2 linked regions of the Mytilus edulis genome follow. The protein of the gene in region 1 interacts with the protein of each later gene in a pairwise test. Links are inferred from orthologs where the notes say so. Each region holds a gene or a part of one and is shown in the gene's direction. Other genes may lie near its edges.

What was found.
Region 2: the proteins of calcium-activated potassium channel slowpoke-like (region 1) and alpha-catulin-like interact in a two-hybrid assay, tested with the Caenorhabditis elegans proteins (2 studies listed by BioGRID, with this or other methods). The link is inferred for Mytilus edulis from reciprocal best matches to the Caenorhabditis elegans genes slo-1 and ctn-1.

What each region holds. Positions count from the first base shown.
Region 1 is NC_092352.1:16,476,755-16,493,220, reverse strand, and holds the start of calcium-activated potassium channel slowpoke-like, read left to right. Parts: upstream 1-10,375; 5' UTR 10,376-11,477; coding exon 11,478-11,825; intron 11,826-16,466. UniProt on the Caenorhabditis elegans protein: Potassium channel activated by both membrane depolarization or increase in cytosolic Ca(2+) that mediates export of K(+). Its activation dampens the excitatory events that elevate the cytosolic Ca(2+) concentration and/or depolarize the cell membrane.
Region 2 is NC_092357.1:32,302,750-32,319,782, forward strand, and holds the start of alpha-catulin-like, read left to right. Parts: upstream 1-10,125; 5' UTR 10,126-10,164; coding exon 10,165-10,251; intron 10,252-17,033. Other genes in the region: cytohesin-interacting protein-like, read right to left, coding at 206-299, 1,441-1,543, 1,842-1,994, 9,809-9,868. UniProt on the Caenorhabditis elegans protein: Required for slo-1 potassium ion channel clustering at presynaptic terminals and in egg-laying muscles; clustering of slo-1 mediates the intoxicating and sedatory effects of ethanol on worms.

The sequences.
Region 1 (16,466 bases):
CTTACAACTCTTGCTAGTTTTCATAAAACTTATTAGCAATGCCCGTCGGATAAGTTAAAATATCCGTGAGTGCTGATCAAATATTTTTTAAGAGAAAAATTAATTATATAGAAATTTGCATTGTTCGAGCTTTCAAGTGTACAACTTTCACCAATTTTTTTCAATTTCTATCAAAGGATTATATCAGAAATGTTTTGGACAATTGTGAACAAATATGTTTAAAGCGATATGCCACTTGGAAATATTTTTTAAATTATATTGGAAATTGCATTGCATTTGCTCTAAAACCTCTATTTCTCTAGATTTTACATACAAAAACAAATAAAGTACAAAACAAATAAAGTTTTAAAGTTATTAAGCAACGCGAGTGAACACAATTGGAACTCTGTTTTTCTTTTATTTTTCTGATCTTTAGATCCATTATTCTTTTACCTTTACATATATAGTCGTTGGTTATTGCAAAAACACTTATTTTTGCACTTGCAAAAATTGTTGTCTAATGGCCAAAGCAATATATTCCCAATATACTAGTATGTATAGATAGTGTGTTGCCGCTAGCCATTTTGAACTATTTGTGATTGTCAAATAAAGAACATTTACATTTAGAACAGAGTAAACAAGAATTTAAAAACAAATGTTAGATTTATCGCTCTTGAAATAGTTAATTCCTATAATTTCCCATTTGTTAAAAAAAATCATAATAGCAATATTGTATTGCCACACGATTTCCCCTGTCGAAATTCTGAGTTGAAATCAATATTTCAAGATTTGAAAGTTAAAATTTTACTTAGCTTTGTTGACCACAGGATTGAACTCAGTTATGTGATACAGAATCAATACAAGTATACTGATCATTTATACCTAAATGCCATCATTCACAGCTCCAACCATACTTATTTTAATTTTAATGAAATGTAATTTTCAGGTATGAATTTCTTATCTCTTTTCCTATTCTTATATTATTGTTGGTCAATTTCAGTCCATGGGTGATGCCTTTTACAGTAATATTTTTAGGGGGATTGCGTAAAGAAATGATGAATTATTTTTTTAATCAATTTGGTATTTATCGATGAATTAAAAGAAGAGAAATCTGTGTCACTTAATCGGTTCTATCAAAATCATTAACAGTCTCAAAAAGTGTCATCTTTTCAGGAGATTTGGCCGTGTGATTGACGATCTTAATAACAAATTTTCATTATTTTTTTCTTGCACTGGAGGTGTGATACACACATGCAACGAAGTTACAGAGGATATAACGTTTTTGACCCATTCGTCCCCCCTTGAAACCGCCATTGGGCTTCATTTCTTATGGCACTTCATTCGAATCGCATATAACATTTCCACTTATCAAATCCTTAATTTTGCATGAGTTCGATATTCAGGAAAAATCACCATATGGGGAACAATACTATTTGTGGGAGGGAGTGATTAAATATCACACAAATTTTCATCATTTTGTTTTCGTTTTACCCCATATCTTGTAAAACGTGTTTAAAAATATGGTCAATGCAAATGAAGTTACATCAAATCCTGGAACAAGTTTCTTTATCACGAGTACGGTCTCTGAAATGGGACAACAGTCTTGGTCCATAAATAAATGCACGTTTTCACGTTGTCGTTGTTCGTCGCGAAATATGCTTTATGTGCTAAGCTGCGTAAATCAATCACCAATCAATCACTCACGTTAAAATTATACTTGGTACAGAATAAACATGACATTATGTAGGAGAGTTTTATTATTTTAAATTATACTGAAAGAAAAAAAGAAATAGTACATTTTGGTAAATACAAAATACCAATCTAATTAAAATATTGATCTCTGATTACGTTATACTACAGACTCATATGTAGTATAACGTAATCAGAGATCAATATTTTAATTAGATTGACAAAATACAAGTAGTTTCCTTCACTTTGTTCGTCTTTATGCATGGTCACGTGGTGTGGATGATCTGTCACGGATTCAATTTTCATTCAAATTTCTGGCACTTGATAACAAGATGAGCCCTATAATATACTACTTGGTAACGACGAAAATAAATGAATCCCCAGAAGATGTGGTATGAATGTTAATGAGACAACTCTCAAGCCAAGTCACAATTTTTAAATGTAAACCATTATAGGTCAAAAGTACAGCCTTCAACACGAAGCCTTGGCACCCACCGAACAGCAAGCTACAAAGGGCCAAGAATGGTATGGCTAGTGTAAAACCATTCAAACAGGCAAACTAACGATCTAATCTATATAAAAACGAGAAATACTTATGAACCACATCAACAAACGACTACCAATGAACATCAGGTTACTAGCTTGCAAGTTACAGCACCCTGAAAGAAAGCAACTACTGTTCTAAAAGTTTTGTTACAAGACCGTCTTATTTTAGAAAGACTACCATATGAACCCCCCTGGTTGAAGGAATTAGCAAAATCCACAAATACCGGGCGGGGTAAAAATGGAAGTCTTGTTCTTAGTTTCAGTGGAGTTTAAAACTATATCACTTGATATTATAGTATATAAGCTTTAGTTTAAAATCTTTGATTTTTTTATGGCTTTTATTTGTCGTGTATATATGTAAAAGAAGATGGTGTATGATTGCCAATGAGACAACTGTCCACAAGATACCAAATGACAAAGAAATTAACAATTAATATAGGTCACCATACGGCCTTTTACAATGAGCAAAGCCCATATCGCATAGTCAGCTATAAAACGACCGAAATGCATTTATTTTAATCATACTACATATACGGGGGAAAGATGTATTTTTTAGCTCCTAATTTTACTCAAAACATCTGTAAAAGAAGTCTATACTATATTTGAGCTACTTCAATCATTCAATACTCCGAGTAACCAGTAATCTGTAATCTGTAATCTGTATAATAAATTCTACCAGTCAAGGCACACCTCCAATTATAGCTGGAGTGACATCCACCACCACGAATATATATATAATTAAAAACCAATTCTTCAGAGAACAATTGAAGGTCTTTCCACCTCGATAATAAGAATGAAATTTAAAGAAACGAATGTCACTCCTTGTTGATGTAATTTGGTTCTTCAAATTGATAATAAAAAATAAGATTAATCGGTCTATGCAGAAGACTTAATTGTTTTTAATATGAACAGAAAACAATTTTTAGCAAAGGTCAAAATCTAGAACGTCAAATTGACCTTTGACCTTGACCTCAATTTCAAGGTCATATGTCAGTGATTTCAAATCAAAACACCCCAGGTCAATCGTTTGTATGGTTGTGGAGAAATACTGATTTCAAATACATAAGGGGAGAAAACTCCTATAAGAGTTAACCAAAACACTTCGACTGAAATAGGTTGAAGTTGCGCCTTTTTATAAACAGTAATTTGGCAAACAAATCAAATCATTACCTGTAACAGTTTCTTTAAAATAACGATAACAAGCAAAATTCAAAATTTATAACATGACCTTGACCTTTGACCTTGACCTTAAATTCCTTCAAATGGACTAAGGACTTCATATCAAAAGACTGTAGGCCTATATAGTTACGATTTAAAATGTATGAATTTATCCAACAAATCGCCTTTCTTAAATTTTCAAAGGGAAATAACTCCCATAAGATGTCTTCTGATCACTCTAGTCAAAACAAAGCAAATCCTTCTCAAGAGTAGACGAACAATTTGGTGAAAACAGTTTGCTGAAATCTATTACGGTTTTAGAGATATAGCGATAACAAGGAAAAGGGGAAGCGGGGAGATAACTCCTATAAGAATAAGTGTTCGGTCACACAGGGTGAGTTTTGAAACCCCCATTACTGTACAAAATCATTGGCCAAAAAATCCATTTGATATGTTGTAAGACAAAAAAGCATCTCAGACGGCAGAAGAAAAAAAAAAAAAAATAATCAGAAGAAAAACAAAAGGTCTTTCCACGAAAAGTGGAAAGACCTAATTATCACACAAATAATGGTTCCATCCACCGGCCGAATATTATATACACACATGCCAATTTATACTATACGCAATAGGCAAATTTAAAAATTATCTAAATAAGAAGTGATAATTTGGACTGTCTTATGCTGAGTCACTTACATAAGAATTTAATTATATATAATTATATATAATTAACCAATAGTCTTAAACTTTCCTCCTCTTTTTGAGTTGTTTAGTATTCAGACCGAGAAGTCTATATCTTGTTGTATGTAGTAGGTGTAACATTTTCCTACATTGAGGTTCAAGAAGTTTTGATAAATTATCAAATATTTGATCACTGTTATTTTTGCAATAGTTGTAAGGATCGCAAATCAATCTGAATAGTTCAATGTTATTGACTCTGTTGCTCTCAGAGAAAATTCTACCAGCAGTTCTCACTATCTTTTCCAATATGGGTTTTCTTACAGCATCTAAAGTTACACAAGTAAGCAGGAAATGGGATAATGTTTCTTCTCCATTTTTGCATAATTGACATGTTGGGTCCACTGCATTAGAGTTATATTTGGCTCTTTGGGATTGTAGGATGTATACCCCTGTTGCAATTTTCACTCGCGGTGGCAATTTTTGTATTATTTTTGGGTCAGAAGTAGATATACTGACTAACGGATGACAATGACCAAGGCTGTATATTGGAGATAAATATTGTAGGCTATTGAAATGTTCTTTCTCATCCAAGATCTTTCTATGCCAGTATGTTTTAATTTTATTTACCATGCTTCTTTTCCATGTTTCTTTTGTTGTTATTGTATCCAAAGATTCTACTGGGTCTGTTAGTTGATATTTAAAACAAATTTTCTTTGCATCTATGAACCAACTGTTGCTTTTGCACGATTTAATTTTCAATTAACGATTTGCTATTTTCCATTCAACAGTTGATTTGTCAGAACATAGAATATTTCCAAGTAAAGTTATAATTTTAATATCAATTTCAGCATTTATGGGTAGTAATCCAGATAATAAATATATAGCCGGGGTTGCAGTTGATATTGGTAACGATAATATTTGTTTTATCGTTTTCTTGTAGAAAGATTGTAGTATTTTCAAAGATTTGCTGTTGGTCATTACAACATCTAGTCCATATAATAGAATGGGCATAACATATGTTCTGAAGGTGGATATAGATGTAGATGGGTCTAGTCCATTTTCTCCATGCAAGCCACTTGCCATTAAACTGTATAAAGCTCTTCTTGCCTTCTTGATGTTTTCCTCAGCAGTTACTAGTTGTGTGTTACAGTTCGATCTTTGTATCCCAACATGTGTGGTTTTATCAACTGTAGGCATTTCCCTATCATCCATAAGAAGTGTCGTATCATTATGGGCATTGGTGTTGGTTTGGATAGGTAGTACAACGCTTTTAGTAGGTTGTAGTATATATGACTTTCTTTTGCTGTAATCGTAACTATGTTGACTAGTATTTGTGCTTCAAACTGAGAATTACTAGTTATGGTAGGATCATCAGCACAAGTAGGCGCACTACAGTTGATCGTTCCAATATGTCCTCCAAACCCGGTGTTACATATTTCGTTTAATAGATCGTTTACATAAACTTTGTAAAGGTCGGCACTAAGAGTGCCACCTTGTCGGACACCTTGTTCAATATTAAATGCATTGGATTGTTCACCGTTCAATTTGACACTGGATCTTGCATTTTTATATAGATCATCAATCATGAGTATTTCTTGCGGTGTGAGTCCCATATGAAATAATTTACGTATAAGGCTCGAATGTTTTACTGGTCAAAGGCCGACTTAGCATCTAGCATAACAAATATTGTCTCTTTTTCAGATCTTTGTTCTCTCGTTGAAATTCCTCCATAATTAATGAGCAATATAATTTAAAGGAGATGCATTCTTGGTAAAGCCTCGCTGGAGTGGATTTTGTATACATATAATTTTGGGATTGATGCGAAATTTAAGTACTGTTTCTATGATCTTTGATAGAGTTGGAGTTATTGTGATGCCTCTATATTTTTTTGCGTCATTCTTGTTGCCTTTATTTTTGAAGACTGGTGTTAATATTCCAAATTTAATAACATCAGGTATAAAGCAGAATTCAAAAGAACTGTTTAGTAGAGTTTGTAAATATGAGGCAAGTATTTCTCCACCATGAATTAAATTTTCAGCAGTGACTCCATAGGTATCCGGGGATTTGTTTCGATTAAGACTTTTAATGGCATTCACGATCTCTTGTTTCTCTACTGGAATATGCCTGAAGTCATGTTTGCATATATCTATGATAGTAGCATATTCGTTGTCTACCTGCTCAATATATGCTTGGTCGAATTGACTGTTGTCACTTTGTTTAGCAAGATTTGCAAAGTGTTCTCTAAAGCCCTCCAATATTCCCCCTTCTGTGTTGTATTTTTGTCCGTTTACATTTAGCTCATCAATATGCATTCCAAATCTTCCTCTTTGACGTCGAATAAGTTTGAAAAATAAATTGGAGTTGTTACTTTTGGCATTAATCAGTTCGCTTTTCCTTTCTAGTTGTTGTTTTGCTAGTGTTAATCGGCATTCTTTTCTAAGGTTACAAGTTGTTACTTTCTTCTTCTGTAACCACTGATTATTGGGATCATTAGGTCGGTTGTTCTGTTTCCAATCATAGTATGCATTCTTCTTGTCAGTTATTGCTTGACGAATTTCTGGTGTCATCACTTGTAGTTTTGATTTCTTCTTCCTTATCTGTTTGGATGGTCCTGAGGTAGATGCCGCCTTGGATAGTAGCTGATTTAAGTCTATATAAGCATGTTCAATATTCTTTATAGATTGGAGGTTTTTGTTCAGTTCTAATATGCCATTTTTTTCGAGCCTGCAAGCAGAAAGCTCGACATAGGGATAGTGATCCGGCGGCGGCGGCGGCGGCAGTGTTAGCTCACTTCTTAAAAGCTATATATTTTAGAAGGTGGAAGACCTGGATGCTTCATATTTTGTATATAGATGCCTCATGTTACGAAGTTTCCGTCAGTCACATGTCCATTGTCCTTGACCTCATTTTCATGGTTCAGTATCACTTGAAAAAAAAGTTCAGATTTTTTGAAATGTTAAATTCTCTCTTACTGTAAGTAATAGGATAACTATATTTAGTATGTGCGTACCTTGGAAGGTTGTCATGCCCGTCAGACAGTTTTCACTTGACCTCGACCTCATTTCATGGATCAGTGAACAAGGTTAAGTTTTGGTGGTCAAGTCCATATCTCAGATACTATAAGCAATAGGTCTAGTATATTCGGTGTATGGAAGGACTGTTAGGTGTACATGTCCAACTGGCAGGTGTCAGCTGACCTTGACCTCATTTTCATGGTTTAGTGGTTATAGTTAAGTTTTTGTGTTTTGGTCTGTTTTTCTCATAATTTATGCAATAGGTTTACTATATGTGTTGTATGGAATGATTGTAAGGTGTACATATCTAGCGGGCAGATGTCATCTAACCTTGACCTCATTTTCATGGTTCAGTGGTTATAGTTAAGTTTTTGTGTTTAGGTCTGTTTTTCTCATACTTTATGCAATAGGTTTACTATATTTGTTGTATGGAATGATTGTATGGTGTACATGTCTAGCGGGCAGATGTCATCTGACCTTGACCTCATTTTCATGGTTCAGTGGTCAAAGTTAAGTTTTTGAGTTTTGGTCTTTTTATCTAATACTATATGTCATAGGTCAACTATATTTGGTGTATGGAAATATTTTATGATCTATATGTCAGTCGTGCAGGTTTTATTTGACCTTGACCTGGTTTTCACGGTTCATTGCTCAGTGTTAAGTTTTTGTGCTTTGGTCTATTTTCTTAAACTATAAGCAATAGGTCAACTATATTTGTTGTATGGAAGCATTGTTAGATGTACATGTCTGCCTGGCATATATATGGTTCAACTGACCTTGACCTCATTTTCATGGTTCATGTTAAGTTTATGTGACGGTCGTAATAAAGCTTTATATTTAGGAGTATCAACATAATATCAATGATTAGTAAAGAAGGCGAGACATTTCAGTGTGTGCACTCTTGTCTATTGTTGAGTTATTTTTCTCAATATCTACTTTGTCCCAGTTGATTTTCGGAGTCGAACATATCCTTTTGTTAGGTTTATTGTGCATACAATATTCATATTTAATTCTTGCTACGATGGGGTAGTGGTCTGAAATGTTTCCAGGTATGTTTTCAAGCTTGATGATTTTAACAATACTCCTGCTGAAATTTTCGCTATATAAGAAGAAGTCAATGTAAGTTGAGTCGCAACCATTTGGGTGTATAAAAGTTGGACCTAGGTCTTTAGTTAAAAGATTATGTTCTTTCATAAATTCCTGAAGATGGTTTGATCTTTTACTATTGGAAAATTGGCTTGCATTTTCATTTAAATCTCCTCCAAGCAGTATGATGTGAGTATCTTTAAATTTTGAATATATATTTCGTGCAGTAGATCTATACACTCCTGAAATTCTTCAATACTGTCTGGTGACCCCTTACAAGGCAGATATACTGATATGATTAAAAGTGGTTCAGCAGCACTGAATTCAATACATTGTAAAATTGAGAATGGAAATGGGGAATGTGTCAAAGAGACAACAACCCGACCAAATAAAAAACAACAGCAGAGGGTCACCAACAGGTCTTCAATGTAGCGAGAAATTCCCGCACCCGGAGGCGTCCATCAGCTGGCCCCTAAACAAATATATACTAGTCCAGTGGTAATGAACGCCATACTAATTTCCAAAATGTACACAAGAAACTAAAATTAAAATAATACAAGACTAACAAAGGCCAGAGGCTCCTGACTTGGGACAGGCGCAACAATGAGGCGGGGTTAAACATGTTTGTGAGATCTCAACCCTCCCCCTATACCTCTAACCAATGTAGAAAAGTAAACGCATAACAATGCAAACATTAAAATTCAGTTCAAGAGAAGTCCGAGTCTGATGTCAGAAGATGTAACCAAAGAAAATAAACAAAATGACAATAATACATAAATAACAACAGACTACTAGCAGTTAACTGACATGCCAGCTCCAGACTTCAATTAAACTGACTGAAAGATTATGATTTCATCATATGAACATCAGGCACAATCCTTCCCGTTAGGGGTTTAATATTATACCATCATAACATATATGGGAAGAACATAACCCGTGTCATGCCAACATGTTTTTAGAATAAATGTGTTTAGTTCCGATGCAAAGACCTTATCAGTGACTCAATATTAACGCCAAAATATGCAATCTTTAATGACTTGACAACAGTATTGTAATCATATCCCTTCTTAATAAGTCTATTCAAAGGTTTTGTAAGTTTCTGAGGTGAATACTGACACCTTTGTGCTTTATAAAGAATATTTCCATAAAAAATTGGATGTGAAATACCTGAACATATTAGAAGTCTGCATGTTGAGCTATATTTACGAATGATGTCTTTATACCGATGATAAAATTTAGTAAATGTTTTGACTAGTTTGTGATATCGAAAACCCTGGTGTAATAATTTTTCAGTAATACATAAATTTCTCTCGTTAAAATCTAAAACATTGTTACATACACGAGCGAATCTTACAAGTTGAGATATATAAACACCGTAAGATGGTGACAAGGGAACGTCACCATCTAAAAACGGATAATTAACGATAGGAAATGAAAAATCATCCCTTTTATCATAAATTTTAGTATTCAGCTTTCCATTAGTGATATAGATATCAAGATCGAGAAAAGGGCAGTGGACATTGTTAGTATTAGCTTTATTTAAAGTAAGTTCAACAGGATAAATTTCATTAATATACATACTGAAGTCGTCATTATTGAGAGCCAAAAATATCATCCAAATATCTAAAAGTATTATGAAATTTGTTTATCAGATGTTGTTTCGATGGGTCTTTGCTTATTTTTGTCATAAATTGTAACTCATAACAATACAAAAACAGGTCCGCAATAAGTGGTGCACAGTTTGTCCCCATTGGAATTCCGATAATCTGACGATATACGGAATCCCCAAAGCGAACAAAAATGTTATCTAGTAAAATTTCAAGGGCATATATAGTATCAAAGCATGTCCAATTAACATAGTTTTTTTGTTTATTGCTACTAAAAAATGAGTTTGAACATATATATTCACATTCTGATTTTTTGAATGCCCATTTAATTAAGTGTGTGAATTTTTTCTTAATGAGAATGTGAGGCAATGTGGTATACAGTGTAGAAAAATCAAAACTTTGAACAGATTCAAAATCACCAATATAAGCATGCAATTTATCAAGTACTTCCAACGAGTTCTTGACACTCCAAAAGTAATTTATTCCACTATTTTCGAAGGCCTTATTTGAACAATTTATAATCAGGTTTTTAATTGTACCAATTGTGCTGGTAAGAAGAATAGACAATTTAGTAGTTGAACAATGGCTATACGTTCGTTCCGATCTGGAAGTTGTGTTATATAGCTATCAAGTTGTTTTTTCCACATGATTGCAACACCTTTGATACCGGTCCGAAATAGTGTGAACCTTTGATACCCGAAATCCGCATATCAAGTTCAAATCTGTATTAAATAGGTATTGTAATGAGCTTATAATTATGTATATTCATAACCTCGATTAGTTGAAGATCAACAAGTTTAAAACAATGACGTCCGCATTATCTGTGAGAACACAAATAGGAATTAGGAATACAGTAATTTTCCAAGCTTAATTTAAATAAGAATTAAATACCAATTTCAAATAATATTACAAAATTACATCTGAATTGACTAATAAATCTTTCTATAACTACACGCTATCATATATGTGCTAAATTATATATGATATCCTTGGATTTTATTTCAACTTTCTTCTTGAATGCACGTTTATACTATAGTGGTATGCTATTCAGCTGTGACATTTGAATTTCAATATTTTTCCTTTAAAAATCGATCGAGCAAATCGTTATATTACAGTAACATAATATTCCAATAATCACAGAGATAATATATATCTACATGTATTTGTTGTTAAGTAGAAATATCGGTTTTATATAGCACATGCTAACGGCAGAACTCTTGAGCAGCAAAATGGTGAGGAAAACGTTAAGAAAATCGAAGCCGATCGATAATGAACGCTACGCCTCGATGAAAGATAAATGATCGACTAACAAGCTTTAATATTTATATCCCGTTATTGTGTGACAACATTACAGAAGAGAATCCGTTTCAATGAATGGAACATATTGTAATAATTATGTTTTGTCACCACCACATTTGACTGATGACATAGAAACCAAAGATTGTTGATGAAGGGGAGGTAGACTCGTTACTTCATGGAGTTCAATACGACGAATAACCACATGTGAAAAATCACAACATATCAATTCGTTTTCATTCATTGACATTTGGGATTTAACGACGGAAATTGTAAATATAACTGTACTACAGATTTAAGTACTCGTATATATAGGAATACTCACAATGTAAGCAATCTGTTGTAACTTGTCACTTTATATTTATTATGAGGGAATATATGTGGAATCAGTGTAGTACAGACTGAGACTGAATATTCCGTCAAGATGACAAACACTACTGCGATAGATGACTGTCTGTCAGAAAGGAGATGGTACATTTTCTTGCTCTCCAGTCTCTTCACATTTATAGCGGGAATTGTTGTTATTGCCGTATACCGTCTAATATTGTGGATATGTTGTCACAAAAGAAAAAAAATACCTCAAGCAAAAGTGGCAAATCATACAGGACCTTTACCTATTCCTGAAAAGAGGAAAGGCTCCCAAACAGTCGGTGGGGCTGCGGGAGGTACCATTTTCTTAAAGACCCCAGACCCAGAAATAGGATGGATGACCGAGGCAAAAGACTGGGCTGGCGAGCTTATTTCTGGCCAGACAATGACTGGAAGAATCTTGGTAAGTTGGTCTATTTCTGTTTACTTGTAGATCATCCCATGATTCAGTCTTAAATAACTAGAACTGATATTTTGTCTTTAAAATAAGTTGCATATGATTTTGAAACATATTTTTCTAAAAAAAAAACTAATATGCTTACATGCTTTTATTTAATTATTTTTAAAAGTTATTTTGGCTGCAAGTTCCTACAATGTTTTTATTACTCCAACCAATGTAAAAATGTAGTATAAACCCGAGGATAAGTAAACAAAAAATACACGTGTAGTATTCTATGCGTTTGATGATTTCTATGTATTACGAATTCTTGGCAACCTATCAGTCAGTGTTATGCAAAGAGTGATGTTTGTTACCCTAGCGATGAATGTATAGGATGGAAAAGAATATATAAGTTATAACATATGTGCTCACTCAAGAATACAACAGACAATGATAGATAATTGCTCATATGATTTCCATTCTATATATTATACCATCAGCTGCTGTCACTACGAATAAGTCGATAGTTTTAATTAAAAATGTTCTTGTACAACTCATCAACTATACCAGGCTACGACAAACGCCTGTTTCGTTTACATATATACAAGACTCGTCAGTACCGCTCGAATTAAAACAGTTAGAAGGCCAAATTTAGTTCGAAGTTGGACAGCAAATACAATTGAAAATTCCAAAAATGTATGCCTTTATATACGGTTAAGCCAATCTATGAGTAAGCAAAACTTAGTAAATCGAATAATTCTATAGTTTTATAGTTTATAAATCACAATGTATATATATATGCAATAACACTTGAGTTCTATGTATATGTAAAGTAATATATGTCATTGATATGCAATAACTGTTTAGTTTCCAGTTCCTTTGTATTTGTAAAGAAATACATGTGATATATATGCAATTCTCCATTTGTAAAGTATTTACATGTAATGTTTTATGATACTAATAATTCATTTTTCACAATACAAATATAGATTTTAGAAGTTTAGAAGAGTTTATTTAATTATAATTCTAAAATCAATTTCGTTCGATACGTAGATTCGGATTCAATATTTCATTAGAGTCTTGCCGCTTGCTATAAATAAATCCCTTATTCATATAAAAAAAGCAACAACCGACAGAAACATAAACATGAAATACAAATGACATTTCATAAAAAGATAACTTCAAATTGGACTTTGAGAGTCTGTCAATATCCTTGTCGTCTGACCTAAGTTCTATAGACATTATATCATTTGTACTTATGTACATATTTTACGGCTTTATAAGCAGTGCTCAGACTTGCACCTTCGAGACAAAAATCGATTAAAATGGATCGCTCCACAGTTATACTGCATGGTTACACGCTAACATATAAAGCGTGCACTTCTCGACTGAAAGCTTCCGAATAGTATCATAAATGTATGTACCGTGTAAGATACTGGAACAGATCATCTACGATCACATGGTAAAACATATAGAAAATGTCAGAGAGCTTACATTGTCTTAAACCATTGATTAAGGTCCGGCTATTCGTGTGAACCGAACTACTGGACATATTGCATAACTTCATGAAACTATGATGCTGGTCACCAAACTAAGGTCGACGTTGCTGGACTTCTCCACGGCAGTCGACACCCAGCAACGCAATAATTATATAGAAGAATAATATTTTATTTCATTAAAGGGCCCAAGCATTTTACAAAACATAACATTATAACTTGAGATTAAAACAAATAACATTCGGCAATGAAATCAAATGATATATAACTTTCTTAAGTAAATGTTTGAAAATCTTAAGCTTTTATAACACGCTGGTTATTACTGTATTGAAAAAAATAATATACAATACATAGTTAACTAACAGATATGTATAAAGTTGTATAGTCCTTTAGGTTCAGCATGTTTCTAGTTAATACAGTAATAACCAGCGTGGAGAAGTCCAGCATACAGTTTTGTAAAAATATCGACACTGACGAAGACCATTTGTTAAGCCGAAATATATATATACATGTGTTTCAAAAGCATGAAAGGAAGCTACATAGTTAACTTGAATGCAGTTGACGATACCATTGGGATATAAGAACGTTTTCATTGATAGAAGAAAGGAAAAGAGAATGTATTAATCAATATCATCTTCATTTCCATATTCTTAAGAAGATTTAAAAACCAATATCTGTTTGACTTTTAAATCAATAGGTAAAATTACAGCAATTTTTTTTAATATGTATGTATATACTTCTCTTAATGTTTGTATGTAAAACTATTCATATAATTTTAAGTTGATCAACATTTTCTACACTAAAAAGCTAGTTTAAAAGTCTAAATAAACTAGACCGCAAATATTATGTAATAGGATCATTCAATAAATCGTTAGATATTTTCTTAAAGTCCGGGAAAATGAAAGTCGATATTGATGAAGGTGATTCTGAAGAAGCGACATCACAAGTATCACAAGGAACCGTGCTCTGTCGATTACATCAATGACCTGCCAGATATCGGGGGTTGGGGATACTTCGATCCTTTTGTGGTAGGGGAGCAGCTGAGTTATCAAGTACTTTGTCCTTTTCATAAACTATGAGTTTTAAAAGTGCATACCCTATCGTATCTAAGACTATAGTTATCACGTGTGTGCTATTTCAAGGAGAGATAATAGATTTGTGTTGTCAGTTTATTTTCGACTTGTGAGTTTAAATTTCCCTTTGGTGTCTTTACTTGAAATTTATCTGATGGATTTCAATTGCCTCTGTGTCTGAAAAAAACCCCATAGAAAACTTTGCCATAGACTGCAGAATTGGTTAAAATGCAAAGAAGTGTTACATCTAGAACAGGGATACATTGTTCAGCCTTGAGCCTTCAACTCTAACAGCTCCAACATAGCCCATAAACTAACTGAATATAGGACTGTACACATCTGTAAATATACAAGTCAATGGACAACTCACATCTTCAATGGAGTCAAGAAAGAAGACTCAACACATGGCTTTCTCAGACTAAATCTACAAATGTGTCCAAAAGACTGCACAAAACATCTTACATATCAATGGAAAGATCCACAATGGAATATGGAACAATGGAAACATATATACACCATGAATGCACAAACGACTTACACCAACAACAAAGTAGTTGCTTAAATCCAAATACTCCTTGATCCTGATGGGTTTTTCGGGGGATGGAGCACCACTTTTGTTTGTCAACTAAAATGCTTGGGCCCCCTTTTATAGGACTTGCATGTGTTTGAAATCCTTTTAAAAATGTCTGGAACCTACGTTGTTTGGTCTCTGATGGATCGTAGTCGTCTTATTGACAATCACACCACATGCATGTATACCTATTTATTTTTTTCATTTAGAAAAGATCAAACGGTTGCGATAATTTCAAATCAAGACAAGAGCAATTGGTTACCACTTGAAAATGCTATTTGACTTAGATAAAAGATGACTTGATCTGCCGTGCAGAACAAGCCAATGAAGCCACCTATCAATCCTGACTTTGAATTTCTATAGTTATAGTAAATATAAAAGGATTATCAAACCTATAAACGTGTTAAGATCTGTTAAGACTTAGAAAGTGTCAGTATCCTGGTCTTAGCAGAAACAATCATAATAGAAATTCAAGATATCATCGGTTTTTGGACATCCTTGTCACAGATTTTTTGTTAAAACTTGCAAGACTGGCTGCTTAAACATTTGATTCATTTCAATCATTTTCTAGCATACAGTGTGCAACAGTTGGAATCAGCCGATAGTGTAGGATTTAATAATGTCCCCAATGATAAAATGTCCACCGGACACATTTTCATAGTAAATACTGTCCATGGACAATTTTTACTTATTTAAATATGTCCTAGACATAATTTCCTATGAAAATATGTCCTCATGTATGAAAAAGTGTCCATGAACATGGACATTATTCACTACCATAATATTGTCCAGGTGGACATTTTTTCACAGGACATTGTGTCCGCCAAGGGATTTTTTGATATAATTAAAGTATTAAATGATATCCATTGCCCTTATTATTACTGGACGCATTTTAACTTTAATTGCGGACTTTAATTAAATATTACTTTGACATAGAGATTTCTCATTATCTCTCATACCATCCTTATCTTCATATTTATATCTTTTGATATAATTATATACATGTATAATTCAAACTCAAAAAAGTAACATATGCTGTTCAGTATCATTTTCCTTGGAGGACACAATTTAATAACATTTACTACGAAAATGTCTTCTCACTGTTCTGTAGATGGACCATATTTCATAACAGTTGCTGTAAAATGCTGTCCACTAAGGAGACAATATTTCATGACAATGGACATAATTTATTTTCTATTGCCTTTTTTCCTGCCAAATAAATATAGTAAAGTTCTTCAGATTTGATTGTACACTTTCTTCTTATTGTTATTCTTTCATTGTCACTACAATTTGCTGGGAATTTCTCTATATTCACTTCAATCCATTATTTGTTTGTTTACATTTGTATTTTGATCAATTTCTCATCAATCCTTCATAATTTGATTAAAATCCAAGTATAATAAAACTTTTTAATGACATTTGTATTACTTCCCTTGGAGGACACAATTTAATAGCAACTACTATGAAAATTTGTCCTGTGGGTGGACACTATTTCATATCTTTTGCAGTAAAAATCTGTCCATTT
Region 2 (17,033 bases), on another chromosome or scaffold:
AATAGGATATTTCATTTAAATGTTCAACAACCTTTTATTAAATAACCACCACCCATCAAATTTCAATTAAAGTGCCTTCCTGCCCCCACCATACAATAAATTCTGGAAAAGCCCTAAGGATTACAATATGAGAAAGGAGAATGTGATTATAAAAGGTATGAGAATAAGAAATTGAAAGAAGGTATGAAAGAAAGAAAGGAAGTACCTCATTGAGTCACCACAACCTCTTATCACTCTTACTAATTCTTTATGAGAATTTCTGTCCACCGATTCACCATTTACTGAGAGTATTACATCACCTGTTAAAATAGTATAATATACATATAGTAAATTAATCAAATGTAATAGAGCCCGAGGGTTCTGATGAACACATATACCCCTTAGAACAACAAATAGTAAACAAGACTATTACAGTGGAGATTCAGATTTCATTTCATAAAATTCCTCGAAAAAAAAAATGGTATCCTGCTTTGCTACTAAAGTAGGTGAAATCATAGATATGCTTACGGTGTCAAGCGTAAACCCAGGGCGTTTTCTGGCTTCTTGGCCGCTTCAGAATGTAATAAAATTTGATAACAGGAAGGTTTCTAGGTGCAACATGCTAGTGTTTTGGCTTATTATTGTAGAAATTACATGTCAATACATTCTGTAATTCAAAATGTTGGCTTCCTTTAACATTTGTTTATAGTTATCCAATAAGAACGACTGTTACAAAATAATTGCATTAGCATTATTAATAAATCAAAAATAAATAGTGAAAACTGTCAAATCTATAATTTTTTGCTACTAATCCTGTGAGATTTAACTTTCATTATATACACTTTATGTTACTTGTTTCACTTGATAAATAATCTTAATGAAACTTGATACAATGAAAATAAAGAATGCATAAGATGTTGAACTTAGCGTACACCAACTTGTAATTCAAAATATTGGAAAACAGAAAGTATGTATCTGTCCAATAGAATTAAATAAGTTTTTACTGTACATAACAATTAACAATATTTAATTAATTAAAGAGCATGCCTACATATGTGAGCTCACATCTATATGCTTCACATCTTTAGTCATATTTAATCTTTGTGTTAAAGTAAATTCAGAAATTATTGTATGCATGCATATAATATTGCAATATTTGAAGACTTCAACTAAAATGCACGATTATATTTTGCAATTTCAAGAAAAGCTTCATACAGATATTTGTATCCATGTATCCATGGTGTTGATATTAGAATGTAAATTGTTATTATTGCAGAACTTGCAACCTTGCACTAATTTTTTAATTTAGATTATTTTAAGAAGAGATTTATACATAAAATAAAGCTTCTAGTGATTTTCTCGATTTATAATGTAACCATACCTTTCCTCATTCCAGCCATGTATGCTGGACCAGTAATCTCAATGTAGTCAACATAAGTCATTATTATAATGTAACCATACCTTTCCTCATTCCAGCCATGTATGCTGGACCAGTAATCTCAATGTAGTCAACATAAGTCATTATTTCAATCTCGTTCGTTTTCTTGTGTTTAATGCCATAAGTCTAAAATAAGAAATAACATCAAATAATGAACCATTTGTTGTAAGTTTTGAGGAATGTTGATTTGTTTTGTTTTGTCTTTTCTTTTTTTTTTTTTTTTTTTGGGGGGGGGGGGGGGGGTTTCTACTACTAGATGTTGATGTACTGTGACCTTTAGTTCTTAATTTCTTTGTCATTTGGTGTCTTGTGAAGAGTTGTCTCATTGGCAATCATGCCACATCTTCTTTTTTAAATGATGTAATTTTTTAAATTGACCATTGGTATCACCTCCCCCCCCTTTTTTTTTTTACTCAAATCTTACCTGCAGAGTAAAGCCCCATGAATTATTAATCTTCTTCAGGAATAGAGTGCGCCTTTTAGTGTTGTCATTGGGATGGCTCTTTATGGATCGTTCAGGCTCTAAACAATGAAGATCAGCACCGATAGAGCTACTTGATGGAATCATTGGGATTTTCTGAAATAAAATTAAAATACTATACATAAAATCTTTGAGAGCATTTGCTTTACAGAAAATTTAGCTTTGCCCTATATAACCATGATTTAGTTTTTTATATCTTTGAACCTATATATATAACCATGATGGCTTTTAATTCAGATGCCAGTCATATATATCATTCATTAAAGAAAAAAATCTATAAGTCTGTGATATGATTGATTGCTGGGTACTATTGATAAAAATAAAAGAATGTGTAAGAGGACAGGAATGCCCCTGTTGAAGCTTCAAGCAAATGGAAATTAGGACAGAAGGAAGGAAAGACAGAAAGTCAAGGTTGACATTCTTTGCCTTTTCGCCAACAGCAGAGGCATATAATAATTAACTGAAACATTTTTAGATGAAAATAATAATTGTATGTATTGTTGGGAGCAATTAAAAGAAATACTATGCTATAGGCATGTTAGAGTTTATGGTAAATTCAACAATGTTCAATATCTAATTCACAGGATTTCATGCTTGTAACTTATTATTCACTTTGTTTCAGGTGAATCGTTGAAAAACCAATGATCATGACACTATTTCTTTTTTTTTTCATTCATTGTAAAATAGCCATTCTATTTCCTTTTCGTCAGTACACATACCCCCTCTTTACAACTATCATATAAATGATCATTATGATAATGATCGATATATATATGTATATACCGAAGCTAATCAATCATAAAAGTAAAATCTATAGTAGCTCTGATGTACATATCATTTACAATTTTCAAAGTATACAATGGTAAGAATAAACAATATTTTCTGCTATTGACAAACTATTTTGAGTGCTTGTAATCATGCTGATGTTACCAATCAATAGTGTTATAAGAAATATAGATAGAATTCAATGAAAACTGGCCAATTCTTATTGGGTTTATCAAATCTAGAACTGGAGTGCAATGTGACGACAAAAATATCTTGTATTGCCAATTTCATTGTGATGTCCAGCATATGTAACCCATTTTGATTGAAAGTATATCTTAACTTGCAAAGCAAAAGAACTGGAGTGCAAAGTGACGACAAAAATATCTTGTATTGCCAATTTCATTGTGATGTCCAGCATATGTAACCCATTTTGATTGAAAGTATATCTTAACTTGCAAAGCAAAAGAATTTCAAATTATAATTCACTTTCTCTCATCTATCACTGTCTATTCATTAACTTGTGACACTTTTACTATATTATTTTATTGAATCAACAAATTATGCCAAAGGATTTGTGCAATATTTGATCTCTTATAATCAGTAATGTTCCTAACTTTTCAGAAACTGAAAAAAAATGGGTTTGTTAAAAAAAATAACATATGACTTGAATATTAAGTCAGTCAGTCACAGTCCATGCACTATGTTTTTTGGTGTATTTTTTAGCTACAGAGCAGTGTATAAATTCACTTACCTAGATGCATTCGATCATTATCTATCAAAATTAATTATACAGTCATGAATGTAACAATAAGTTACTCGACTGACGGGGAAAGACACTTCCTTACATCATTGTGTTTTTCCTTTAATTTTTCAATAATCAATGATAATTGCACAGTTACAACATTGTACAAAAAGACAGGAAATTCCGATTATTATGATACAATTTTCCTGTACATTTAATCTTAACAATAGATCAATTATCTTTTGCTTGTATTAAACAAAGAGATGCAGGATGAGGACAAAATAACCTAAAATTTACCTTTTAATGTTTTAGCAGTTTACAAAACCCTGCTATCAATATGAATATGTATAAAAAAACTCAAGCCATGGATCTCTGTCATAAAACTTTACTTAGTGCTTGGAGAACAACATTTATGATCCAGTATTTTGATTAGTTGAAAGTTCTGAGTACATGAGTACAATAATTGATAAATTTGTATAACTGCAATACTGCAAGGTCACTTCCTATAAAACCTAAAAATTAAACATGATCAAGGAGTCCTTATGTTAATAAAAGTAATATTGTTTCATCATTTGAGATGACTGTCAAATGATATATAAACCAACACTAAATAGCTAAATCTACTTTTGTCAAGTATGCCATTCACATAAAATTGTACTTCATGTGTCAAATGTATCATGTGTACATGTATGATGCCAATAATAGAGTATTTGATACATAATACATGATTACTTAGTAATCTAACTACATGTTCATCACGTACATGTTTGTCTGAATTGGGTACTTTGTTTCTGTAATCTTAAAATTTTAAGTTGTTTTTCTCTTTCTTTTAATTTTTGGCCATTAATTTCATGATTTGCTATTTGATATATAAATATATATAATATAAGCACCACATTTAATATTTCACATACTGGAAACTGAATCGACACATTTAACATTTTATCTGCATTGAGGTCTTAAAACTTTTCCACTTTTTTTCAGGAAATTATTTCTACTAATTTTCTTTACAATCTATTAATTAGCACAATATTTTTTTTTATTATGATTATAAAAGTTCAAATATATAATATTTTGGCACAAATATATATTATTTAAATAAAAGTAGTAATATTTTAATTTTTTAACCCTTGAAAATTAATCTAAATTGGCTGTTAACCAAGAGATATGTTTACAATTTTATGCAAATATACATGACTTTCTTTGATCTAAATAATTTGTTATTCAAAATAAACATTTAATCCATTTATATATATATATTTTAAATACTATGATATACCCTTACATCATAAATACACAGGTAAAGCTCTATATCAAAAATTTATCATTTATATACAAGTATATAACTATATATCTGTTAGTCATGTTTAAAAGGTCATCATGCATGGGGTTATCTTGTTCAGATCAATCTTAATTTACAAAATATTACAAACATCTTGTTTTCACCATATGTTCATGTCAGATGTTTAAATAAATTAAATGAGCACAATTTGTTAATCAATTTTTTAATAAATTTTATATGCATCTTATGTTACATTCTTAGGCTACATTTGCTGTTAATGAAATATGTTTTAGAGTACATTGAGTTTTATTGTTTACATCTTTGTTAAAATCAAAGCGCAAATGCACTGAAAATGGCAAAGTTGGTCTAAATATGTATTTTTTAGGTTTCTGCCTGGAACTGCTGCTTTGAGTGGAAACGTTTTATGCTGACTATCAAAAATATTTTGTCTCAAATTTGTTACTGAATATTTTGAAACTAATATGTTCAGCCATATACAACATGTATAATGATATATATAGCAAAATTAGAAAATCTATCACATGACAAATTTACTGAAAAGGTCTTAGATTGGGTCTTAACTATAATTAAATAAAATTTCTTCTACTGTGAAAGTACTTTAATTCATGGGAATCAATTTTCAGGGTTTAAACAACATTTACATGTTCGTCGGTTTTTAACTTCGTGGATTTTAGTTTTCTAAAAAAAAAACGAAGGAAAAAATTGAAGATAATAGAAACGAAGATTACAAATTGTATAGATTGAAGGAAATTGGATAAAGTCATCCACGAAAACCACGAAAATTGGTTCCCCACGGATAAAAGTACTTTCACAGTATTACAGTCCCATCAGAATGCATGTAGCAAAACAAATCTTGAGTAAAAATAGAGAAGTAAATTTTTAAACAGAATCAAATGTCAACCTCGTACTTAATTTGGCTTTTTTAACCTTTTATTAATCGAATGACACTGATTAGTCTTTTATAGACGAAACGTGCATCTGGCGCAAATACAAACTTCCAACATGTCCAACCCTAATATCTATGATGAGTTTATTTACCAACTAGACAGTTACTTTGTACATTTCTAAATAGAGAAATTTAATATAGCACTTTCTCAAGAATGTAAAGTTTAAAACTGAACACATTTAATATTATACTGTTATAAGAGAGATATATATATTGTACAAGATCAGTCATTCTTAAAAATCAATAATCAGATGATTTTAAACACCTGGATTAAATTACAAATCATCAACCACTTTTAAAGTAAAAGTTAATTTTAAATCCAGAACTTGAAATTCTGACTTTCTATATAAGTATATATAATACATATATTTTCCTCTAATTCTTTGACAATTAATCCCTTTCTGCACCCATTTTATTAATTAACAGCTGCACCATGAGTGCATGATACGCCCATCGTCTAGTGTGAAGTTTTATGCAATAATAAATAGTTTCTGAGATACAGCGCGACAATTGTGAAAACCCCCTTCTTTTTTTTTTATACAAAAACTCAATAACTCCCAAAAGATTTTTGAATCATCACCAAAAAAGAATACAGATCTTTATATTAATATAACTAAGAAGTGTGTAAAGTTTTAAGAAATAATAATTGATGGGTTTTGAGATAGAGTGTGACATGTGAACACCCCCCCCCCTTTTTTTTTTTACAAAAAACTCAACAACTATAAAAAAAAATTTGAATCATCACCAAAAAATGTACACACCTTTAGACATGTTAGAATAATATAACTAAAAAGTGTGTAAAGTTCAAAACAATAATCATAAATTGTTTTTGAGATACGGCGCGACATGTGAACAAAACCCCCCCCATGTTTTACTCAAAAAGTTAAAATCTTATTTTCACCAAAAGGTATAGAGATCGTTTGGCCATTTGACCATCATAAGAAACAACTGTATTAAGTTTCATGAAATTTGAATAAGTGCATGGTTCTTTAGTTACGGTGCAACATGTGGATACTGGACAGATGGTCGGATGGACGGAAGACAGACATTTGAATACCATAATACTTCCCTTCAAAATTTTGATGGGCATATAAAAAATGTAACCAACATGTGGTTGCTAGTGATCTCAGAAGATGATTGGATGAGTTTAAGGGTCATAACCTTTATCAGCTCCCAGAGTAGATGAATAAAAATATCGTGCACATCATTTCAAGATAAGAGAAATTGTTTAAATTCCACTATTAACTCACTGTAGTTGCCCAAACTTTATGCATTTGATTCCTAGCCAAAAACTAATATGGCTTCTTAATGTAGAGAATCTTGATATTTTAATATCTGTCTGTGAGTTAGTTGATGAAGACAAAATATAACTTGAAAGATAAATATTTAAATCAGGCTTTCTGCACTACATGCACTAGGCTCTTATTAGGTTAGCATGGTGGGGTATAGGACATATATCGCATAAGTTCTATTAATACCTTTCTGTTTGTGATATTTTTGATTAAACTGGTAATATTTTATCTTTTTCGTAATATGTGCACTTTGGTATGTCAACAAGTGAAACTGCGAGCTACTGCTCACTGATGATACCCCCGCCGCAAGTGGATAATATTAATAGTGTAAAAATATGCAAGTGTTCGGTAAACAGGAAGTTGTCCAGTGATGAATCTGAAAACGCATCACACAGTATAGCTGACTTATATAAATCCTGAAACCAAATTTCAGAAATCCTTGTATTGTAGTTCCTGAGAAAAATGTGACGAAAATTTTCAAGTTGGCTATCATGTGTAACGTCATACAAGTGTTCGGTAAACAGGAAGTTGTCGAGTGATGAATCTGAAAACGCATCACACGGTATAGCTGACTTATATAAATCCTGAAACCAAATTTCAGAAATCCTTGTATTGTAGTTCCTGAGAAAAATGTGACGAAAATTTTCAACTTGGATATCATGTGTAAAATCATACAAGTTTTTTCGGTAAACAGGAAGTTGTCAAGTGATGAATCTGAAAACGCATCACACGGTATGGCTGACATATATAAATGTTGCTACCAAATTACAGAAAGGGTGGATGTGTAGTTCCTGAGAAAAATGTGACGAAAGTTTCATGGGACGGACTGACTGACGGACGGACTGACGGACGGAGGTAAAACAGTATACCCCCCCTTTTTTAAAGCGGGGGTATAATTAGCTTTGTCCCTTGGTGCCTCTTGCAGTTGTGTCACTTTAAATAGTACTGACTCCTCTGCACCAGGCACGAGGATGACATACCAGTTATATGCAACTTCTTACAATATCTTACTATATATCATTAATGTCCCGATACACATTTTAAGAAGCACCCACCATGCCATATAGCACCGTCCATTGGTGCCTCCTGCAGTTCAGCTAGATATATTCAGCCTACTCACAGTATTCTTTTTTGTTACTTTCTAGAGCTGTGTCTGAGACAAAGGTTTTATGTATACTCATATATACATACTGACATAATAATATATGAAAACTGTTGTTTCTTATTTGTGTTTGTAAAGTGCTATGTATACTGTATTGTTTATTATATTTGTAAAATAATAATATTATAATGATATTATATAATTCTCCTTGTGAGCCCATTTTATGGAAATAAAGCATCTTCTATATACTAGAACACACGGGTCTGTGATATTGCGGGTCCTTAACTGAATTAAAGTATATAACTATGCGTAAGACTTATTTTAGCCTGGATTTTTATTATTGGTATTGTCATCTGATAAAGTATGAATAGTCATGCTGATTATAAGCATGATAAGATGCACAGTTTTCTCTGCTTTCGAAATCTTTCTGTTTGAACCTGTTGACCTGGAACTTATCAATTATTGGTAATATTAATTATTTAGAAAGAAAAAAAGGGCCTGGAATGGCCTGGAATGGAGTAATTTATAATCAACAGCATTGTCCTATATTAGTTATAAATAATGTTGATATCTTTGATTCACCGTTTTTTACATCATGCCAGCAATCAAATTAAAAGCTGTACGCCTTTTTTTAAGTCTAGATTTTTAGTATTTGTATTGTCATCTCATAAAGTCATCAAGTCATGCTGATTAAAATACTACAATAGGATGCAATGTGACAATGATTGAATTAAGTAATATAAAAGGCAAACGAGTATCTGAGTTTTACCTAAAATTGTACATTGTACTTAAGTAATAGGCCTTATGAGCGAGTTATCATCCCTAGTAAATATATACTTACTGATTTTTATGTAAATACTATCAAGGTCCCCAGACTTTAACTTTTTTAATCATTGTTATTGGCTAAAGTAGTGTTGTTTTTTTGTTTAAGATGCACATGACTCAATAACACGCAAAAGACCACTTTCAAGTTAAGTTTTACACCAGAAAAGTTCAATTATGGGCACCTTTTTGTCTTCATTTACTAGAGAGAGGGATCGCCTGTATGCCTGCGCTAGAAAAGTGCATTATGCGTCATTGCGATCTTCATTAAATTTATGCAGCTGGAGGACCACAGACACTTGTTTCTATGCATGGGAAGGTTGAATATCCATGTAAATAGAAGCTTCTATTTATATGGATAGTCGACCTTCCCATGGATAGAAACAAGTACCTGTGTGGATGACCTAGAAATAATATTTGTTCCATAAGTACTGGATCAAATACCCCAATGACAGCAGTGCATATTATAAGAATTTAATTTGCCAAATTATTTATGCAATATAGCATCCTATTTTTTCAACCACTCGTTCAACCAGGGACAACCGCTGACTGACCTAAGGGGGGCCTGCTCCAGTCATGTTTCAATGATTCCCTATATAATCAACCAAATTTTTCCCATGAAAGGGGGGCCCGGGCCCTCCTGGATCTGCCTATGGAGTTGAGTTCAGTTGTCCTGGATTTTAAAACACTTTAAAAACCTTTTGATCCGCCCCCTTTATTAACATTTATTGTTTCCGTTTTACTCTATTACATATTCTTTGGAAAATAATAGCATTATATTTGATAAATACATACTTTCATTGTTATTTAGTCCAATGCAAGTACAACATCAAATGGTTTCTGTAACTTTAAACTCTTATTCGGTTGTTGAATTTAGTTATGTCCCTTTAGTTTCTGATAGCTAGATTTCTAAAGACTTAAATTTAATATGATCAAACCTTTTTATCTTGTTTCCAACTTAAATGGGACACCATCTCCATGGTATTCACCCATGTCATTTCTACGAAACTGTCATCCCGTGGTTTAGGCAGGATTTATGTTTAAACTGGTGCTAATCTCCGCCAGTGCGAGTGGCAACCTGAACTTGCCGCTTAAGCACCCTGAAATAAAAACACTATTTTAAAAATCATAATCTTCTCATCATACATAATCATAACAAATTGATGATTGTCAATTTATTTATTCATGTTTATTAGAATAAGTCTAAAATGAATTATTCGATAAATACGTCATTTGTTAATATTCTTTAGTTCTTAAGCGACACAACCTTTGACCCAGCTTGGAAGCTGGAAAGATGGCAGGGTTGAGAAATGAAGCCCGGTTGTCGTTGGAAATTCGAACTAAATCTATCGAACAGACGTTGATTCCATTGGTAACACAGGTATTTTCTTACAACTGTATTTATAGAGTATAAAAGCTTCAAGTTTTAATTGCAACTGTAATAAAATGAGATTAAATTGCCATGAATAAAAGAACAATGCAAATTATTTATTAATCATGTTAATATTTACATAAGTTAAAACATACATGTATATTTGCATGTTACTCCAACTTACATGCATATTGCAAAAGATAGAAATGATGGAAGAATTTTCAGACCAGGATCCTATATCCTGCTCCCTCCAGGCTACAGTACATGTACATATAGAAATATATTTCATATGTATTTGAGAAATAAACAAAGAACTATACAGGCATAATAAAGACCAAATTCCATTTCATGCTCTTTCTTAGAACTTTTCTACATATATGTGTCACAATGCTCTATGTCACATAGAGGTGAAAATACGGCCATATTTGTCCATTTGTTATGATGAACCTTAAGAACTGTGATTGTTCAATGATGTTTACATCGTTTTGATATATATCATCTGCATAATAATATGGGATCATACAATTACATGTTTGTTGACTTAACATTTGGACAATTGGACCAGTAAATATTTGTCTATCAGACATCTGACAGAAGGGACAGATTTATTACTTACCATGCCTACAATGTACTGTAAACATTGTAATTCAAAAAGTATTGCGATGATTTTATCATAGTGAAAAATGCGAGTGGGTTATAATCATATGTGATAATCGCAATAATTTGAACTCTCATTCTGAAATTTTTTATATGAATTTAAGAGGATTATTTTCAATAACGCAAAACAAAATCACATTTAAGTCTTGAAATGACAATATCTCAACAAAACATGCAATAATTTCTGAATTTACAGTAATCATACACATGTATTTTATTAATTTTGATATGATGATTTATGGCATGGGCCCAGTTGACACAACATTTGAAGAAATACATTGTACTATAGCTAAAAGTGTTCATAATATAATGTTTTATGTTATTTGGGGGAAACATCATTGGTACATTTGACTTTTAAATGCTGTATCTTTTCATTAAACACATGAAATAACATGAATTAAGTAGACCCTGTAGACCAAATTTTGTAAATCAGCAAATTTTATTTAAAATCAAATACAATGAACTGATGAAAATGATGAATATACATCATGCTTTTACAAATAGCATCTAAAGTATATACACATGTACATGTACATGCATGCATGCATAGGAAACAAATCCATAAATTTAATGCAAAAATACAAAACCTGCTTAACCAGGTTAACATAAAATGTAGCAAACCTGATAAACCTTCTAAGTAATACATGTTGAGAAAATTCATTTTTAATTACATTAAACTTTTTAAGCTTATTATGATAAATATTGTTTACAAATAACTGCAGTCATAATTGATTATGACAGATATTACATAATATTATTATATAATTGTTTACACCTGGTACAAGTTAAGTTCAGGTAAATACAGGATCTCCTTTGATCACAATTCCATTATAATATACAAAGTGACATCTGTTTACCATTATCAAGGACTATTTTGTTGCAAGAATAGTTTTATTAAGATATATATACATTGTTTATGGCATAGGCATTCATTTTTCTGATGCAAAAACTGGAGATTTATTTTCCGGACAGAAAATGATGCAATCTCATGCAGTTATATACTTGAATAGAATGTCAATGCTTCATATAACATGTACATATATTAATCAATCTAATCTACATGATATATATGCCTACAATGGCTTATAATATTTATAACATGATGCAATTAAATATATATGATTTGATATACTTTATTTATGGTGGGTCAAGTTAATTTATATTCATCGAAAATGTAAAATTTCTGAAAGAGTACTAGTCCTTTCCTGAAATTATTGCAATAACCTTAAATATATATATTGTGATGACAATTAGACGCACTCAATCAAGTTAGGGAGCTGCCATTTGATTTTTATGGGGGCCTAGGATGAAATTTGAAAAAAAGGCAGGACAGGCATGACCAGATGACAAGAGTTTTGAGTAAAAAAAAAGGTAGGATGACAATTTATGTAAAAATAAGTCAGGATGACGGCTTCCTCTGCCTCATTTTTAGACTTATACCTCGAATTTGACATACACAGTCATCTCAGTACCAGAATCTATGACAAACGAGACGATTTTAATTTTGAAATTATCAATTTCCCCCACCTTAGTAGTAATATACCAACTTCACCTGCATATGGAATATACATTTCCCAACTTATTAGGTATTCAAGAGCTTGCAGCTCCTATTCAGACTTTGTAAAACGTCACCAGTGTCTGAGCAGAAAATTGATGAACCAGGGATATGTCAAAGAACGTCTCGTCCTTTTTCTAAAAAAGTTCATCGGAAGATACCCAGAACTTGTTGATAAATATTCCGTATCAACTTCACAAATAATACAAGATGGTCTTGAAGTATAGATTTTGCGTACTGACGTTTGTTATCATCTTAATTACGTATTATAGTATTCTTTTATATGTCTTTTTTAGATATTCATTTGAAGTGACTCTGTGGTTATGTAAAACCACATACTTTGAACGGCAAAATTATTTCATTTATTGATATTACTTTTACTTAAGGATCTTGACATACTATGAATGACAAAACTATTTTATTCAATAAGACTACTTTTTCTGTTTAGTCTGTTTTTATGATATACATTTGACGTGAAACTGTACTTATGTATCCCGTCATACTTTGAACCACACCATTGTTTTATTTATTATTATTACTTTTACTGTTAAATCTGGTTTTTGTTATATCTACTTTACGTGAGTCTGCATTTATGTATGCCGTCATACGACAAAATTATTTTTATGTCTACCTGTGCGAATTTCAAACGCGCAATTTTACACCAGTAATGAAAACCTTCTATCATTTATGGGTAGACTTTACATAGATAAATTCAGCCGTATTTGACGTGAAACTGTACTTATGTATCCCGTCATACTTTGAACCACACCATTATTTTATTTATTATTTTTACTGTAAGTCTGTTTTTTGTTATATCTACTTTACATGAGTCTGCATTTATGTATGCCGTCATACGACAAAATAATTTTTATGTCTACCTGTGCGAATTTCAAACGCGCAATTTTACACCAGTAATGAAAACCTTCTTTCATTTATGGGTAGACTTTACATAGATAAATTCAGCCGTATAGGAAAAGCAAATTGAGAATGTTGAATTTGATGTATGCCTTTTTGTGCTACTTTGTTACATTTGTTGTTTATGTAGTGATATTAAGATGATAACACAATATTGACTGTTGTACCCCTATTTTTGACATTTTTACTCTTTGAGTATGTTTGTTTTGTTCATGCATCGTTGACAATGTAATGGAATTTGATGCGACTCAACATTTTTCGAGGGATTAGACAAGGATGTCCGTGCAGTGCTTTAATTTTCGTTATTGCTGTCGAGATATTAGCATGTAGAATAAGACAAGACAATAATATTAAAGGATTTGAAATCAAAATAGATGGGAAAACACATTCTTTAAAAATCAGTCAACTTGCAGATGACACCACACTTTTTTTAAAAACAAAACAAGACATTTCAAAAGTATTAAACATGATTGAAATTTTTGGCACTTTGTCAGGGCTTAAATTAAACAGATCAAAAACAGAAGGAATTTGGTTAGGAAAACACAAACATTGCAAAGAAAAATATGAAAATATCAACTTTACAAACAAACCAGTGAAATGTTTAGGAATTTTTTTCGGTTGTAACAAAAATGAATGCCAAAAACTAAATGCAGAAAAACAAATAGAAAAGTCTGAAAAGATCATAAAAAATTGGGAGAAAAGACATTTAACAATGATCGGTAAAATAACAGTTATCAAATCATTGATCATACCAAACATTACCTTTTTAGCGTCTGTTTCACATATTGAAAAAGAATATATTGTTAAATTTAAAAAAATTATCTATAATTTTTTATGGAAAAGCAAAAGAGAAAAGGTTAAACGCACAGTACTCAGTTTTTGTGAACTAGATGGGGGTTTAAAAATGATTAACATAGATAAATATATAGAATCTATCAAAATTGGGTGGATCAAAAGGTTAATTAATGGAGATTTAAAAAATTGGAAAATTATTCCACTTTTTTATTTTAATAAGTTTGGAAAAGATTTCCTTATCTTTCACATGAATATTGATAACACTGACTCTATTCCAGAGTTAAAGGAGCTGCCAAAATTTTATTTCAACATTGTAAAAGCATGGATAAATAATAAAAAAGTACAACAGCCAAAAAACTTTAGATCTATACGTCAAGAAGTTATTTGGGGAAATCGTTTCTTAAAGATAAAAAATAAATGCCTTTTATTCCAAAACTGGATAAATAGTAATTTTATCTTTATTAATGACATCATTGATGAAAATGGTAATATAGAAGAAAATTTTATTTTACAAAAGCTTAAAATAAAAAGTAACTGGATGTCAGAATTTTACCAATTAAAGAAAGCTTTTCCAAGAGAATGGTTAAAGATTTTAAAACAGGAAAACTCAAAGAAAACTAAAGTAAAAACGCCCTATGCAATACATATTATTGATAATTGCAATAAAAAAGAAAAATTAGAAAATGTAGATACCAGAAAAATTTATAATATATTAATTGAGAATGAAATTGAAATACCTGTTGGTTTTTATAAATGGAAGACAAAGCTTAACCTTGTATACATTAAGAGTCTTTCATGTAATATGTTAAAGTTTGTTCATTATTTTTTAAAAGATAATAAATACAAAGTGTTCCGTTGGAAATTGCTACACTTTATTTTACCTTGTAAAGTTTTATTGAAAAAGTGGAAGATATGCGATATTTCAAATTGTCATTATTGCAACACCACAGAGGATTATGATCACATGTTTCTAACATGTCACTATCTTGATAATTTCTGGAGAAAAGTAAAAACACTCTTAGAAAAACTGAATATTAATAATAATATTCTAACATTAAAAAATTTAGTTTGGGGTTATAAAATAAATGATGAACAATACTATGAAATTAATTATTTGATTACAATTATAATGTTTTGTATATACAAGGCAAACTATATGTCTGAACAGAAAACAAAATCTTTAGATGTATATACTGTATTTAAAACAGAATTCATGTACAGCTACAAAATGCAGGCAACTAGTAAACATACTAAGAATAAATGTCTACTTGATAAAGTTGTCAAATTGTTGTAATAATTTTTATGTTTGCAAATGTATAATCTAGCAAAAAATAAGAATAGAAAAAGATAAATAATTTAAAATGTCCAGATCAGGAACTGATTTCGAGAAATAATTTCACCTTTCACCGATAAGCGTGGAGATAACGGTATTGCTCTCCACTTTTTTATCGTTAAAAAAATGGGGAAAAAATTAATTACATTCTATTTTTATCAGAATCGATACACATATATTGTAATATTTGTTTATACATACCTGTGAATTGCATATATTAATCATAAATCATTATTAAAACTGGTATTTCCAAACCAGGAAGAGATATCAATTCAATAATAGGAAACCGATAACGGCAAGTGTGAATTATTTCCGGAAACTTTTTAATTCTAAACAGACTAGATATACATATTGATAAATTAGAATTTCATATATAATTATTTATTTTACGGTTGAAAATGAATTATATACACTATAGTCTAGATAAATTGTACTTTATCATTGTTACACAGAGAGAAATGATATTAAAATGCAGATACTCTTCACTAGGAGGCTGGACTAGTGGAGTCAATTGTTAACAGCAAGCAATATATTGTTGAATAAAAAAAAAAAAAAAAAAAGGAATTTGATGCGACTGTCATACAAGTGAGAGGTTTAGCTAGCTATAAAACCAGGTTCAATCCACCATTTTCTACATTAGAAAATGCCTGTACCAAGTCAGGAATATGACAGTTGTTATCCATTCGTTTGATGTGCTTGGACTTTTGATTTTGCCTTTTGATTTTTGATTTTCCTTTTTGAATTTTCCTCGGAGTTCAGTATTTTTGTGTTTTTACTTTTTATGTAAAAATAAGTCAGGATAAACTAAGAAAAAAAAGGCAGGACCGAAAAGAGTGAAAAATAAAAAGGCAGGACAGAGATAACAACTAAAAAAAAATACAGGAGAAAATTTTTCATCCTAGCCCCTTAAAAATCAAATGGTAGCTCCCTTAGTGCCATCAAGGATATCTCACATAAATGGCAATGGCACTCATATGCCATGTATGTACAAATGTATGTTTTATAATCAACAAAATTAGGTATATATATATATATGTGTAACATTTTTTTCTGAGGGGCCCATCAAGGTCGTTAAAAACTTCCATTTGTTGTTTGAGGGGCCTTAGTCATTTAGTGGACTAGTGGTGAATCATCATATGAGCGTAGTCCAACTACTTCTATTATAAGCCTGTCAACACTGAGGTAGTGTGAGTTCAAACACTGTATGTGGACAGTGTTAACGTTGGAGGCTTGTAGATGGTTAAGGGAGTATGTTTATGATAACAGAAGAATGAGATTTGCATTAACCATGAAATTATGCATATAGATAATTATTACTTCAATTATGGCATGTATGGAACTTTAATTAACAGGTAAACAAATTTGTCCATGGCCAAGAGTGGTCAATCATTAATTCAAATTGACAAAAGTCAAATGTCTATAAATAACTGTGACACTTAACACTACATACAAAATATTAAAAGACTGCTGGAATTGATAAAGTTGAGCAACAATAACCCAATTTAAAAAAAAATGATCGTTGAGTACAATCCAGTG